2 linked regions of the Drosophila melanogaster genome follow. The protein of the gene in region 1 interacts with the protein of each later gene in a biochemical or structural test. Each region holds a gene or a part of one and is shown on either strand. Other genes may lie near its edges.

What was found. Proteins that work in one complex are often made in the same cells at the same time.
Region 2: of the proteins of eff (region 1) and LUBEL, one has a biochemical effect on the other in vitro, tested with the Drosophila melanogaster proteins (one study listed by BioGRID).

What each region holds. Positions count from the first base shown.
Region 1 is NT_033777.3:14,736,267-14,744,569, reverse strand, and holds the start of eff (effete), read left to right. Parts: upstream 1-3,250; 5' UTR 3,251-3,563; intron 3,564-3,629; 5' UTR 3,630-4,166; coding exon 4,167-4,190; intron 4,191-7,086; coding exon 7,087-7,150; intron 7,151-8,303. Other genes in the region: jvl (javelin-like), read right to left, coding at 1,979-2,392. UniProt on the Drosophila melanogaster protein: Catalyzes the covalent attachment of ubiquitin to other proteins. Mediates the selective degradation of short-lived and abnormal proteins.
Region 2 is NT_033779.5:6,766,201-6,772,670, reverse strand, and holds the start of LUBEL (linear ubiquitin E3 ligase), read left to right. Parts: upstream 1-1,702; 5' UTR 1,703-1,785; intron 1,786-1,961; 5' UTR 1,962-2,026; coding exon 2,027-2,080; intron 2,081-2,137; coding exon 2,138-2,336; intron 2,337-2,400; coding exon 2,401-2,537; intron 2,538-2,589; coding exon 2,590-2,718; coding exon of another isoform or gene 2,719-2,742; exon of another isoform or gene 2,743-2,834; intron 2,835-2,934; coding exon 2,935-3,273; intron 3,274-3,543; coding exon 3,544-3,825; intron 3,826-3,878; coding exon 3,879-4,167; intron 4,168-4,225; coding exon 4,226-5,413; coding exon of another isoform or gene 5,414-5,460; exon of another isoform or gene 5,461-5,575; intron 5,576-5,657; coding exon 5,658-6,085; intron 6,086-6,144; coding exon 6,145-6,470.

The DNA of each region.
Region 1 (8,303 bases):
CACAAAAGCTGGCTGTTTCTCGAGCTTTAAATAGCGAATAAAGTGTGCAAATGTTCATTTCATTTCACTTGTTCTATACTTTTTCATTCTTATCTATCAGAATGTTTCGAAAGCTGCCACAAAATGCTATGATCCACTGTGCCTCGAAAGTATCGCCCACAAACATTCCTATCCATACCGAATGGGGCATATCACATACGAGGGTGCCACACCCACTGGGCACTTTTTTGGGGGAAACCCACGTTAGAAAGCGCAGTAAACCAGTGGAAAGTGTCAAACGATCTGATCATCAAATTTGAAAAGAAAGCATGAGAAATACGTAAGGTAAATATTTAAAATGCAGATTGCATCTCAATTTGATTGAATAATAAAAATAATATTGGATGTAGGTAATAAAAAAAAGGTTTACAAGTTATTACAACTTTATGCAAATTTAATGTTTTGACCAGGTTTTACGGCCTGAAAGGTAATAAATACAAATCATTACAATATTGCTTTATGTTTCTTCTGTTATTCCAACTCTTATTTTAAAGACATATAATATTAGACTGCAAGAATAAATGCAATTTAACTGACAATTTTTTAACAAATTCTGCTGGAAATACCCAAATAAGATATGCACGTTAAACTTGTATCATGTTTTGAGGAAATGAACAATAGGATGTCTCTTCTAACCATTCCCATCGACTTTTCCAGACCATGAAAATGTGTGTAGCTTCGGGAAAAACCGAAGCTGGGCAAAAAATACTGGCAAACAATTTTTTTCGGGAGCTTTGTTGTCTGCGTTTGCCGACGTACGTTAATGAAGCTTATGAGCAGCAGCGCACAAGTCGCAACTCACTGAACTGCAACAAAAACAACAAGCACAGTGAAGCACAAGTGAAGCGTTGCAGTGCGCGACAGAGAGGGCAGACCGTACGGTTGGCATGCGAGGGAGGGAGAGAACGAACCGCAAGCGGGCGGCAACAAAAGGAGAGCGCTGCGCCAGTCAATGGCTGCACCTGTAACCACCTGCCCATACCGCCCATCCCCATCCCTCCCTCCGTCCACCACTCCTAGCCCCATCAAAATGAGACAAAGCACAGTTATGCTCGGCTTTGGCGGTTGGCGGTTGGCTCATTAATGTCTGACACGTTTGAGCGATCACCGTGCTGCAGAAACTCGAAAAAAGGTACTGATATAAAAATATATAAAAAAAAAAACAAACAGCCCAAAAAAAACGCAGTGTAAACAATTTTTTTAAAGCCGCTCGTGATTAACATTAAAAACGCATTTCCAATGGAGATCTGATTCTGCATGCACCGATTTCCGAGAGGAACAGATAGGCGGACTGCGGCAGCCAAGCAGAACGTTTATAAATATAATACAGTAGTTAGTGGCTACAAACGAAACAACCAACCATGCTAAACTTACAACTTTTCTAAAGCTATATCTATTTGAATATTAGGTATCTAAATTTATAATCTGGATCAAGAACTCATTTAAGTATAACCACGGAGTTATTAGCGCGTTCTTCTTAGGCGGAGCTTACTGTTTAAACTATGAATTGGGCGGGAATTATATATTCAGATATGACACGACCCAAGTTGCAAGTGCAGCGGAAGTGATCCATTACGCAAGTTTAGAGCGGAAAGAGCGGTGCGATTGCTCGAAAAAAAGAGATGGCAGAGTGGAAGGTAGAAAATGAGTATTAAAACCCATGGGGGTTTTATTACAATTACAATTCTGTGACATGCCAAACGAATCCCTCGAACTGGAAACTCTCTGTTCCAACCAGAATTCTTTATTTTTGGTTTTCTTTTCCTGTTTTGGGGTTAAATCTAAATACATACAAATGGCATTATCAAAGTTTAAATAAAATACTACATTTTATAATACATAACTTAAAGGGGATATATTATATTTGATTGGCAATTATAGAAGTTCCTTGTTCTCCTAATATTACAAGTTTATCTGGTTCTTTGTGCAACAAACTCACCTTGTGGCAAAACGCGGCTGCCTCCTTGGCCACGCCTACTCCGTCCGCTGAGTGGGCGTGCGTTGATGGCGAGGTCGCGTAGACGAAGAGCGGTAGCGAGCTAAAGTTCCGTTTGTCCTGAAAGCGGCGGCTGAAGAATAACGGCTTGTGGCATCCCGCTGCAGCGGCTAGTATGTTTGTTGTTGTTGCCGTTTTCGTAACACTAGGTGTGGAAGCTACTGCTGCTGCTTCTTCTTGTCTGCGCGTATTTACTGTTGTTGTTGTTGTTGTTATGGGTGCTGCAGTTGTTGTGTTTGCTGTTGTTGCATTTGCTGGGGTCGCCATTGGCGTATCGCAATTTTCTCGTATTATCGCCGCTTCTTCCTCTTCGCTGCAAGTTGTTGTTGTCTGTGTTTGCGTTTTTGTTGTTGGCATGACTACAACTACAGCTACTATAAATCGAATATAAATATATCGACGGAGGCGTGGGCGGTGGCGGAGCTGTGGGCGTGTCCCTGCAGCTGCTGGCGTCCCTTATTGTTGTTTCTGTTGTTCTTGTTGTTATTACTTAGGACCTTGGCATTATCCTCCTCCATCTTTTTTGCTGTTCAAGAAGTCAGCGAAGTTCAGCGCTTGCCAAAACTGAATGATTAGCACTTGCACATCGTCGCGTTTATCTTGGCTTTCTTCATTATTTCTTGTTTTTCAAGTGCAAAAATATTGTACAAATTCTTGGGCCATACAAAAGTGTGAGTTCTGTGTAAAAATTCACAAAAAAATACGCACGAAGCCGATTGCGGGGGTGGGAGAGAGATGGCGATACACGAACGAGTTCAAAGGGCCGCCAAACTAGGAAAAACACGCCAACAAATCAAACAAAACACTTGCACAACCGCAATTCGATCAATGTCGAAGCAAAACAGCCACTAATATTAAGTATATTACTTAATTAACAAACACTTTTGTTTGAAATATTTTGCAGACAGTTAAAGTTAGAGCTGGAACCAAAATCGATGTTTATGCGATACTATCGATGTATAGGGTAAGAGGGCTGCATTGATTAAATTCAGCTACCGTCGATTGTTTTAACTGTTCATACTATTATAACGGCAGTTTCAGACAGCGGAAGCGCCATTTGGAGTAGTGAGAAAATAAAAAGTTAAATTAAATGAACCAGTTTATTTTGTTAAAAATATTTTCATCCTTATGATAATAAAATCTAAATACTAAAAATCTACTAACGCCTGTTATTCCCAAAAACTATCGATAGCACAACGGAAAATATCGACAAGTATCCTGAATTGGCACGTCGGCCTTGCCAGACCAGCGCTCTGGAGTGAATTTAAATTTTAAAATAACGCCCTGTCAATTCAGTTGTAGAACTCAGTAGCTAGTCGGAAAGTTTTCAAGAACTCGGATTACCAACATCTCAAAATTGCTCAGTAAAAACATTCCGGCAGCCTGCAACACGTTGGGTGTTAACAAATTTACATACAAGTTGCAAGCTTTTGGGCGCACGCACCATCGATAAGAAGGTAGTTCGAATAAAATATAACACCTCCTCGCTGCCGGTAAAACTATTTCTTCTGGCTGTTCCCGAACTAAAGTGAGTATGAAGAGTCTTGCATTGGCAATCAAATTGTAATTAACTGATTCATCCCTCACCTAAAAGGCGTTGCCACCCAATCGATCTGGCCACCCCTAGCGAAAAGGTCATATAGCTGGACTGCTCTGCTGGACTTCCGCTTCACAACACTACCACACGACACAGACACACCATTCCTCTCGCTCGGGCTTACACTTCGGTGTAACGATTGTGCTTCGTTGCGTTCTCAGCTCACTAACGGTCGTCTCTATCGCACAAACGGTCGAAAGGCCCCGCATTGATTGTGAAAAAATAATCGTCGCCGTAGTCTTCGTCGGGTCGCCGTTTTTACTTGCAGTGCGCTGGTGCTGCTTTATTTCGTGACAAGGGACACTCAACCGAAAGAGCCATATTTAAGCATCAAAGTTCTAGAGGCGCAACGCAGCTTTGTGTTTCGTTTTTCGTTCAATTCTAAGCAGGAGGATTATATATTGAATAAAACCCAATTCTGTGCGAAGAACAAAAGAAATACGCGAGACACCAACACCAGCACACAACCAACCAAACACACACACAACCAACCAAACACACACACAACCCAGAAAATCAAATTTCAATCAGAAAATGGCGTTAAAAAGAATCAATAAGGTATGTGAAAAAAGGAATATCTCAAAAAACTTTGCGAAACGGACTAAAAAAAGAAAGAACAGAACCCTTTGCGATACACCAAAATGATAGTCTAAAAAAAAAGCGAACAGACATCAGTTTTCAACGGGAGAAAAATTTTATGCAAGAAATGTGAAACGTAGGTAGTAACCGAGGAGAAGAAAGAAGAAGCGGGGGGAAAGAAGCGTGCAAGAGGGAAGGGAGAAAATGAGCTGTGGAGTTACCATTTAATTAATAAGTTAGTAATTAGGAGCAGATTAGAAATTTTGAGGGTGGTGAAAAAGGTATAAGGATGTGTGTGTGTGGTGGGCAAGGCAACGTGTAGTGCAGTCATCGCTTCCGTTACTTTTGCGAGAGTGTGGGATAAGTGTGTGTGCGATGCGTGTGCGTGAAAGTGCAATGCAAATGTGCATTGTTTGTGTGCGTGTGTGCCGGGCACCTGGATGCATTTACATTAATGCAACTATACGGCGGAGTTTTCGCAGCTCTACGGGCGCTGTTACCCAATACACGCTGTACACGGCACTCGCACACACTCTCAGCCTCGCAACAGTCACACATAAACGCACACACTGCCAGCGCCGCAGAAAGATCCAGCAAAAAATAAAACAGAGCAAAAGCAAGAAGCGTATAAAATTAACCTAACCCTACTTTTTGCGCTGATAATTCAGAAATAGTGCTGCCCCCAAGCATATATATTTATATATGTATTTAGGTAGAGTGGTTCTAGCGTGCGTGCTTCGATAATTATTTTTAAAGTGCCTGCGCGTCGTTTGTCCTTGTCCAGTAAATGCTTTTTTACACCCCAATGTTCAAGGCCCTGACAACCCGATATTTTTTCAAAGTCATCCCAGCCTTCCTCAAAAGCATTAGTAATATCTCGAAGTTGTGGAAATGTTACTTGGCAAATTGGGATCTTTTTTTACGTTTGAAGCCGGTTATCATAGTCATACCCCACACACACACACATTAAAACGCTCGCAAATACAAAGTCTCGCCATCACTTGGCTATGGCCATTGCATGCCATCTCGCTCTGGCCCTGGCGCATTCCCTTTGCCCGCGACAGCTGAGGCCTCATTCGGTCCCGCTCGCGCAATGGGGCAGAGCCAAAGAGAGCGCAAGTGTGTGAGTGCTAGCGGGGCTTAGTGTTGCAAAACACCGTCAGCCAAAAGGGGGCCCCCAAATAATTAGTTATAAATTATAATTAAGCATAATTTACATACAAAATGAGCAGCGAATGCGGAATTTGTTCATATCTATGCGTATGTGTGAGCGTGGTGTGTATTTGTGTTTGAATGTGTGGGGCGGGGGTCTGCTGACTGTCTCGACAAAAGCAGCGCTGCCTGCGTCGGCGTCATGGCCATTGAGTTTTCCTCGTTTTTCGTAGTTTTCTATCCATTATAACATTTTAATGCCTGCCTAAATGAAAACGAAATGGCAAGCGGCAAACCGGAAATAAAAGTATACATTGTAGTAAACTCTTAAAATCACTCACGCCCCCTTTTTGTGGTCAATTCTTCAAAAGCCTTTTTTCTCTAGATGGCCTCATTTGCCAAAAAAGAGAGTTAAAGAGCGAGAGAGAACGGCTTAAACGCCGATCGGAGCTCACTTGAACCGTACACTGAACGAAATGGGCTTTAGAACCAATGCATATGGCATTTAGTCTTACTGAACCAATTCTTAAAGTTCACAATATTAATTATTCGAATAAGAATTAAATAGAAGTTTGTATTGGTAGTGCACCTGGTCTAATATTGATAATATTATCGAATTTTCTTGCTGTGCACAAGTGTGCGTGTTTGTTTTTACTTCATTTGTTCGTCTGATATGAGTCATAACCGCTCCGACTCCCAACGAAAAAAGAAATGTAACAATTTCTTGTAATTTATTTTTGCTCAACAGGTACAATTCCCAAAATGAGTAAGTGAGATGGGGCAAAGAAACACGGTGTTTTTCGCGACGGCTATTTTTGTTGTGCTCCACTCTGATTTTGTGGTGCCGTTACAAACACACGCATACACTGAAGCTCAGTCTTCTCACTCTCCTTCATTCTTCCTCCTCCTGCTGCTCCTCCTCTTACTTCTCCACTGAGTCGCGCTACTCTTTCGCAGCTCATCTTCATTATTCTTTTTATATATATATTCTTTTTTTTTGCCGGTTTACCTTACACCTCATTCTCTCTCCCCGTTTGGAGTGTGTGTGTGTGGGGCAGCTGTGATAAGTGAAGAAGAGTCGGAGTGTAAGAGAGAGGGAGGGGAGCCGCTCAGCTGTGTGCGTGCGAGTGCAACAGGGATGGAGCGACTGGTCGGGGGGTGGGGCAGAAGGAGACAGCGCCATTTGTGGTCCGGGCCAACGAACTTGATTTTTCACGTCTCTCCCTCTCGCTCGCACTCGCTTCGAACGAAGCTCTCGCATAAAAATGTTTATTTTGTATCCCCACATATCTGTTTTTAAATTCTGCATTTAAAATTTACATCATTTGCATACCAACCACACAGCATAAAATGTACGCACACCCGGAAAACCGTGGTACATACATACATATGTATGTACATATAGCTGGATCATAGAGCAAAACAAAAGAACCGACTACCGGAAAACATAAGCAGATATCCATGAAATGCACTTTTGACCATTTCCCATTTCGAGAATTCTTTTTGGGGTTTCCTGTATTGCAATTGCTAGGTTTGTTACCTATGCTTTCAGAAAGTAGGTAGTATATAAGGTTTGACTAGAAATTAGATATACTCTTTAAAAACCAGTTCTTTTTGTAGGACTTGACATAACTGTTAAAAACAATCAGAAATTGACTGAGCTTACATACCTATATTTAACTTTTATTTCAATGACTAATTTGAAAATGTCTTTGTTCAACAGGAACTGCAAGATCTGGGCAGAGATCCACCTGCACAATGTTCAGCCGGTCCAGTTGGAGATGATTGTAAGTATTGCTAATGTTATTCAACAACTCGTTGATTTGCCGTGAGTCAGTTGTATTATGTTGGGGGGGCTTTAACCCAAGTTTCGATTTCACCATATCGTGTGGGAGCTCCAAGACATGAAATTATGTGAAATATTTCTGAGTTGCCAAGTCTGAGTCAGTATAGTATATAGTCTGATGCAAGGAATAGGAACTATATATATATTAGGCAAAATTCACAATACCACTATCTCGGAATTGTTAATAAAAAATGCAAATATTGTCGATCGACCATCACCACGTCATAGATTTCGATCGTGACTAGGCATATAACACACTAAATTTGTACATCGTTTGTTTTCCTATTGGCTGTTACTTTTAGTTTGGACTTTGCTAATTTGGAATTCTTTTGCGCCAAGTTTGGATTCGGTTCTTTTTATTTTGTGATAGCGACGGCCTCCAAACAGCTGATCGCCATGACTTGGTTCTTTTTTCTTCGCTGTCTTAAACTCGATTTAAAAAACTCACGAAGCCGTCATGCAATTAGCCAACAAATTCACGCTGATTGTGGATCGGATTCGGTTACGTTATAGCACGTAGAGCTGTACTGCATACAGACAACCGTTACTGAAAAGCACCCCCCCCCCCTCCCTTCACCCCTTCACCACTCAAGCGGGAAGAGGAAGAGGTGCCAGCCATATGGGGGTCACTCTCCAATGACGTCACAAAAAGTGAAATCGTAAATTATATAGTCTTGCTGACGACGATTTCGGTTAAAAAAAAAAAACACCGGCATACTTTGTAAGCGATAAAATTTTAAAAAGAAAATGGCAAACTAAATACTTAGTTTTAGGGAAAATGGCTAGGAACTGAAATTATTCTGCAAAAAGCTATATAAACTATTGTTTTAACTATAGGAACTTATAGAAATTTTGTTCGTAATGCTTTGCAGTATTATATATATATTATAATTTAGTGAACGCACTTTTGTGGAAATGAAAATATTATACAGAACGGCAAAATATTGAAATATTTTATATATATCCCAGCACTTTCGTTAGCTCATTTCTTTGTGTTTCATTTCCCAGTTTCTCTGGTCGTAAGGAAATCAAACTCATTCAAGTTCCCGCGAGGCAGAGTAAATAATAATATTAATAATTGTCATCGTTTGCTG
Region 2 (6,470 bases), on another chromosome or scaffold:
ATCCCTATATATATATATATATATATATATATATATATATATATATATATATTCATGTGCTACCAGCTGGCAGTGGCAGTTTTGAGTGCGGCAAGACGCGTCAAGTGAAATCGAATTATGTAAGTGACCTCTGATTTCGCGGATATCCAACCGTTCATGGTCGATCGAATCCATTACGAAAGTTCAAAAGCCAATTTAAAATCACACCGCAATTAAATCGATCTCAAGTGTTCTAAATATAAAACTCAGCTAATTTTAAACGCGGAGAACGCTCTCCATGGGAAAGTTCAAGGCATTGGCCGGGATAAACAATCAAAGCGTAAAATAAAGTATACAAAATTAAATCAAATTTTTTAAGCTAATTTGCCAATTTGAAATAATGAAAAACTGTGAACTAAAAAAAAAAACGCAAATATAGGCAAGCCAAAGAAATGTTTAAAAATAGTTCCCACCGTTCGTTCTCCTATAAAAATAAAACTTTTTCCCTCGCCGCGTGAGTCTGTGTCTGTGAGTCAGCGTTGCGTTTGCCTCTTGCCAGGCCACTTGCCACTCGAAGTCGCCGCACGGAGCAGGCCGATCTTCTGGGCGGGATTGAGGTGGCACCGGGCCATGCCCCTCCCACCACTGCAGGCGGCTTTCATAAATATTGCTGCACAGTGTGACACAATTTCGGGGCAAATGTATGGAGTGGCTGCGGATGGTTTCAAAAATAGCGCAACAGACACGGGAGTGCAGGCCCAGCGAACACGTTGCGTATACGCAATGCGAGAGAACAGTGTGGCTTGATTTTTGCTATGCTGGCTGAGGCGTCGCGACTCCGAAATTTATGGATAAATTTTATGGCTCGTTACGCACTTAACTAGTGCGTGGAAAATATGCCAGAGCTGCTGGATTAATATATGCTCTAAAAGATATTATTGAGATATAAAACATATTCAATAAACGGGAAATTGTCTCAAAGTATCAGGAATATAAAATGTAGTAAGGAAAACTTTGAAGTGCAGATATGTATATTAAAAAGTTTAATTAACATTCAATCTTAACTTACAAGAATATGCAAGAGATAAATGATTCCTTGGTATCATAGATACACATTTCATAAAACATGAAGAAACATAGATATCTAATAAGTTAATTATATATGAAATATTTAGTTATATACATATAACTTTTACCGGTGCGTTGCCCTTTGAGTTGAAAAGTTTGATGCCTTGGACGCAATTATAGTAAACTTAAAATATATACTAAAGTCAGCATTTGAAATACCTTTACTAATGGAATTATTATGTTGTTTAGGCCATTATTTAATTTAAACTATTTGGCAACGATTTGGCCACCTGCGTCATTACCAAATGCATATTCGCTCAGCTTTTAGTCAATATTTTCCCTCTCTCTGTTAGTTTTATTCGCTCGCTTTTATTTTCAAGCATTTACATGAAATACTCTTCTATTCGAAACTTTTGAGAACTATTTTCAAATTCGAATTCTTCTCCCTAGTCTAATCTCTTTTGCAATTTTCTTGGCATCTCAGCCACTTAGCCGCGTTGACAGAATGAGTCGATTGAGTCACAAAACAGCACTTCCCTCTTTCGCATGATTTCATAAATAAACAAGACCGAAAATGTTATGCCAAAATATATACATTTTTCAATTTTTGTTTTCTATGCACCGAAAGATATTTTCGACTACATTTAGCGTTTTTATTCGCGATCGAACTGTGGCAGCGTTTAGTTTTGTGCACGGCATCCACGAAACTGCATTTTGGTCATTGGCTTCGGAATTTGGGTGAGCCAGCTAAAAATATGCATTCATAATTCGCATTTTCTGGCACTTTGCTTAATTGAATTTGAAGTCGTTTGAAGTGGCTGCGGTTGGGCGAAAATATGGCACAGGGTATTTGCGATCTATAAATAATTATAATAATATTAATATTTTGCTGCTTACGTATTTCGATGAAATAGAAAACCAATCAAGCGCAAAAAGACGATTAAGTGACGGCAAAACCCAGACGAAAAAATCGACCAAGATGACGACCCACCAGTTGCTAAACAAGAATGTTCGCACCATGCCCTCCTGGGTGGTAAGCCAATATCCAGTTTGCCAGTCAATATCCAATTGCACTAATTACCCATTTCAGATGGAGGCAAATGACCGCATTGGGCCCAAACCGCCACCCACGCCACCAAACGGTGTGGCTGGTGGTCTTCCCAAGGCGCCTGCTCTGCCGCCCAAGGCGAAGAGCACTCCCGAGCCGGACTACGAGATCATCGAATTCTCCAGCCAGCAGTACTCCAACGAACCGATGAAGACCACAGTGATCAGAACCAAGACACCAGGTGGGCAACCTTTTTATATATTCCACTTATTTAAAATACTACCAGAGATAATTATCACTTGCAGATAACAAACTAAAGTGCACCTTGTGCGGTTCCCAGAATCCCTGGGTAACCTGTGCCGAGTGCGCCGGCCAAATCTTTTGCGCCTCCTGCGACGACATGTTCCACAAGCATCCCAAACGTAAGCAGCACATGAGAAAGGTAAGTTCTCCCGATCCATTATGAATTTGAACTTAAGAACTTCGTTTTGCAGGCTGTGGAGCAGGGCACACCGCCGATTCCGCCAAAGGCACAGGCCGGTGGTGGGGCACCACCACCAGTGGCACCTCCACGACGCAGCAAACGAGGCCTTTTGACACCGTTTCTGGGCCGCAAGGATCAGGTACGCCACTGCACGATCTCCTAGACCCGTAAGAAAGGCTCCTTCATGGGCTACACGTAGTACCAAGTTTGTAAACTTCAATTTGAATGCTTCAATAAAAGAGTCCTTACAACCAGAACGCCCGACCAAAATTGTAGAAACAGCGATCCAGACATACTTTTTCAATTGTTACCCGAATACCCATACGAAATGGCACCCAACCCGACTCTTTTCCAGATGCTGCCGCCGCCCTCGCCCACGCCCTCGCACAAGTCGCTGGGCGGCTGGCGGGGATCGCTCGGTGGCGGGGCCACGCCCCCAGTGCCACCAATTGCCACCAGCTCTGCCAACCAGATGAACAACCGACCACTGCCCGATCCACCGCGCAGCGAGGGCGGGGGATCTTCCAGATCGGGCACCCCCAAGTCCGTGTTCGACACCATCCAGCGACCGCCGTCGGTGCAGCTGGAGAAGATCAAGAGCAAGGCCAGCGCCACGCTGGACCGCATGGCCATTCTGCAGCAGCGGTACCGCCAACAGAAGGCTCGCCAGGATCTGAGCGCCAACAGCGAACAGGTGAGTGACCCGTTGACCCCGAATCACAATCGTACGAGTCCCCTCATCACTGAGTGTATCGTATTGTCTTTGCTCGGCGAAAATTGTGTCAAGGATCAGTTATAATTGTAAATGAAATGTTAATTTATTAATCATTGATCCTTGATAGTATTTGATCCTTGCACTTCGTATCGTATCGTCTCGTCTCGTTTCGTCATGTGTCGTTTCTCCCTTTCCTCTCTCTCTCTCTCTTTCTTTTTCCGTTTCTCGTTGGTCATTTCCCAAGCGCAGCATTTGTCGAATGAAGCCGGCTTCGAGCACTGGTCAAACATTTCACCATCGCCCTCGCATTTTCGTTCCGGCAGCATGTCATCCGGCCTGAACTCATCCCATTTCGATCTCTCGGATGACTCACAATTTCACAATTCCTTGCTGCTCCAACAACGACAGGCGGCCGGCGCCCAGCGGCGACAGATGAGCACATCGGTGTTCAATCTCAACTCGAATCCACGTCGACCACTGTCCGAGGCCCAAAACGGAGGTGCCTGGCTCGCCAATCAGCGCATCCAGCAGGTGAGTTAGAGTTTCATGCTCCCTTAGAAACTAAGATACCATCCCGCTTGCAGGCCCAATCCCTGGCGCAGCTAAACTGCGCTGGATGTCAACAGAGTCAGCAGCATCCTGGCTGGGCACAGCATCCGCACCAAGCACTTCCTCAGCACCAGCATCCCGATCAGTGGTCACAGTTCGGCTCCCAACAGCAATTCAACAACTCCAATCTGTCCCTGAACGTTGGACCGGGTTACATGTCGCAGCAACATCATCCACACTATCCGCCACCAGTGTTTATGACCCAGCGTGGTATGATGCCCAATGTGTATCCAGGAGCACCAGGCTATCCCATGATGCATCCAGGTAAAATGAGGCACTATTAGTTATATTTTAATTTACATATTGCACTTTAAATGCGCAGGTGTCATGGGAATGCCACCTTCAGCTGCCTCCAGAGCTGCATCCCGTTCCCGGTACGCTGCATCACCAACACCCAGCCGCAAATCGATGTCCTTGCGTCGCAAGCGCAATAGCTACGTGGATGACGAACTTACGGATGACGAGGACTCCGACCAGGATGACCGCAGATCTTTGGTGTCCAATCGCTCGGGCATGACTAGTGCCTCGCGCTCCCAGCATCACCAAAACCATATCCAGCCCCGCCAAAGGCGCCTGTCCAGTGCCTCCCAACTCATAGCCAGCGATGAATTGGACGGCGATCAGGTGCATCACAAGATGCGGAATCGTCGGGGATCCATTGCCAAGTCCGTGCAGAGTGAGTGGCTACCGGAGCGACGGGAAAATGAGGGAACCCTTACCAGAAACAAAACAGCAACGGACTCGGCCAGAACCAGTCGCATTTACTCCGATCTGGAGTCTGAGGGATCGGGTGCTCGGGCCTTGGTTCAAGCTAAAATTCAGCAGAAGCTCCAAGAAGCCGATCAGCACAAATCCTCGAAGAAGGCTGAGCCAAAACGCAAGCCGGAGATGAAGGACGAGAATACACAGGCGGCAGCGGTGGTGCAAAAGGTGGTGGTGCCACCAGCCCATGAAGAGAGTGCCTCGGAATACGAGGAAGTGGTCGAAGAGGTAACCGCCTCAGAGAGTGAGGCTGAGGCTCAAACAGCACCCGATCCCCAGGAAGTTCCTGACGAGATTGGGGCTGATGATCTCGGCCCACCACCTTCTACCCCAGACCACGAATGGGAATGCGAGTTCTGCACGTTTGTGAACGAGCCCAACATCAAGATCTGCTCCATATGCTGCAAGACGCCCAGCAAACCTCCAGTGCAGCCCAACAAGGCCAAAAAGGTAGAGGAAAAACCACAGCCTCCAGCTGAAAAGTCTAACAATATCAAGGCGTCTTCCAAGACGGAAACTAAGCCAGTGCAAAAGCCTACTACAAAGAGCCAACAACCCAGTCAGAAATCCGTTGCTGCTCTTTCGAAGACTACTCACACCAACTCCACGTCTAGCTCAAAAGCGTCGCCAGCTGTAAACTCCAAGACCACCTCCAGTATTCCTATCAAGACACCATCGAAATCCACACTGAAAACTTCGTCGGAAAATGAATCCGATAACTCGCTGGCCAAGAGTCTTCTGCACAAAGGTAGGATACAAAAGAGAATCTCATTTTTCGAAGGCACAAAGACCTAAGCCCAACCACCAAAGACTATACCTAGTTAGTACACTAATAGAGCCATCAACTGTAAGCCTACAATTAACGCATTTATGGAAACGAAATACAAAAGAGAACCATAACCCAAGCCGCATTCCGTTTGTTTGATTTCAATCCGTTGGTGACCCCGATCCCGTTCCCCCAAAAGCTAATGCTCTCATCCGTATCGTTCCAGAGTCCGTTGAAAACATTTGGAATACTCTGGATGAGAGCATACAGGCGCAGGCGGAGCAGGTACTCAAGAAGGCTCAGAAGGTCTCCACGGCCTGTGGTGGGACTCCTCCCCGGGAAATAGCAGCTGTGGAGATGGGAACCTCCCCGCCTCCACAAAGCATTTCCACACAGACCTACGACGCTCTGCCCTTCAATACAAAGCAAGAAGAGATCATCCCCGTTGTTCCTGACCGCTTCACGACTCCAGAACCAAACAAGATGGAGCGACGTCCGCACTATCGCAGCAATTCCCAGCTGCAACAGGAGAGTGAACGTTATCGGAGTGCCAATGACCTGAGGTATCACGACGGCTTTGGATTGGATCCATATAGTGCCGGTCTGGTCACCAAAAGACCCAATTTCATAAACGAGCTACGCATGCTGCAGCTTGTAAGTATCTATGGCAATACTTGATAGTTGACATAATCCAACGGATCCATGTGTTACAGCAAGTATCTTCACCTTTCGATATGCCGCATGAGACATTCGGAGTCAAGCATGAGCCGGCCAGAGATCCGGAAACGGAAATGCACATCATACTGAAAGAACTGGAGCTGTACAAGTTTACGGTTGAGGAACTGGAAGCTGCCCTTAAGTACTGCTCCCCGGAGACTCATCCGATTCAGTGGCTGCGCGAGAACTGGCACAAGCTGGTGCAGACGGTGCAGAGTTTGTCAACCAAGTACGGACAGGAGAGGGGTGAAAACACGATCGGAACTGTGTCCCAAAACGAAGCACGCGAGGCATTGCGCAACTCGGGGGGAAATGTGTGGCA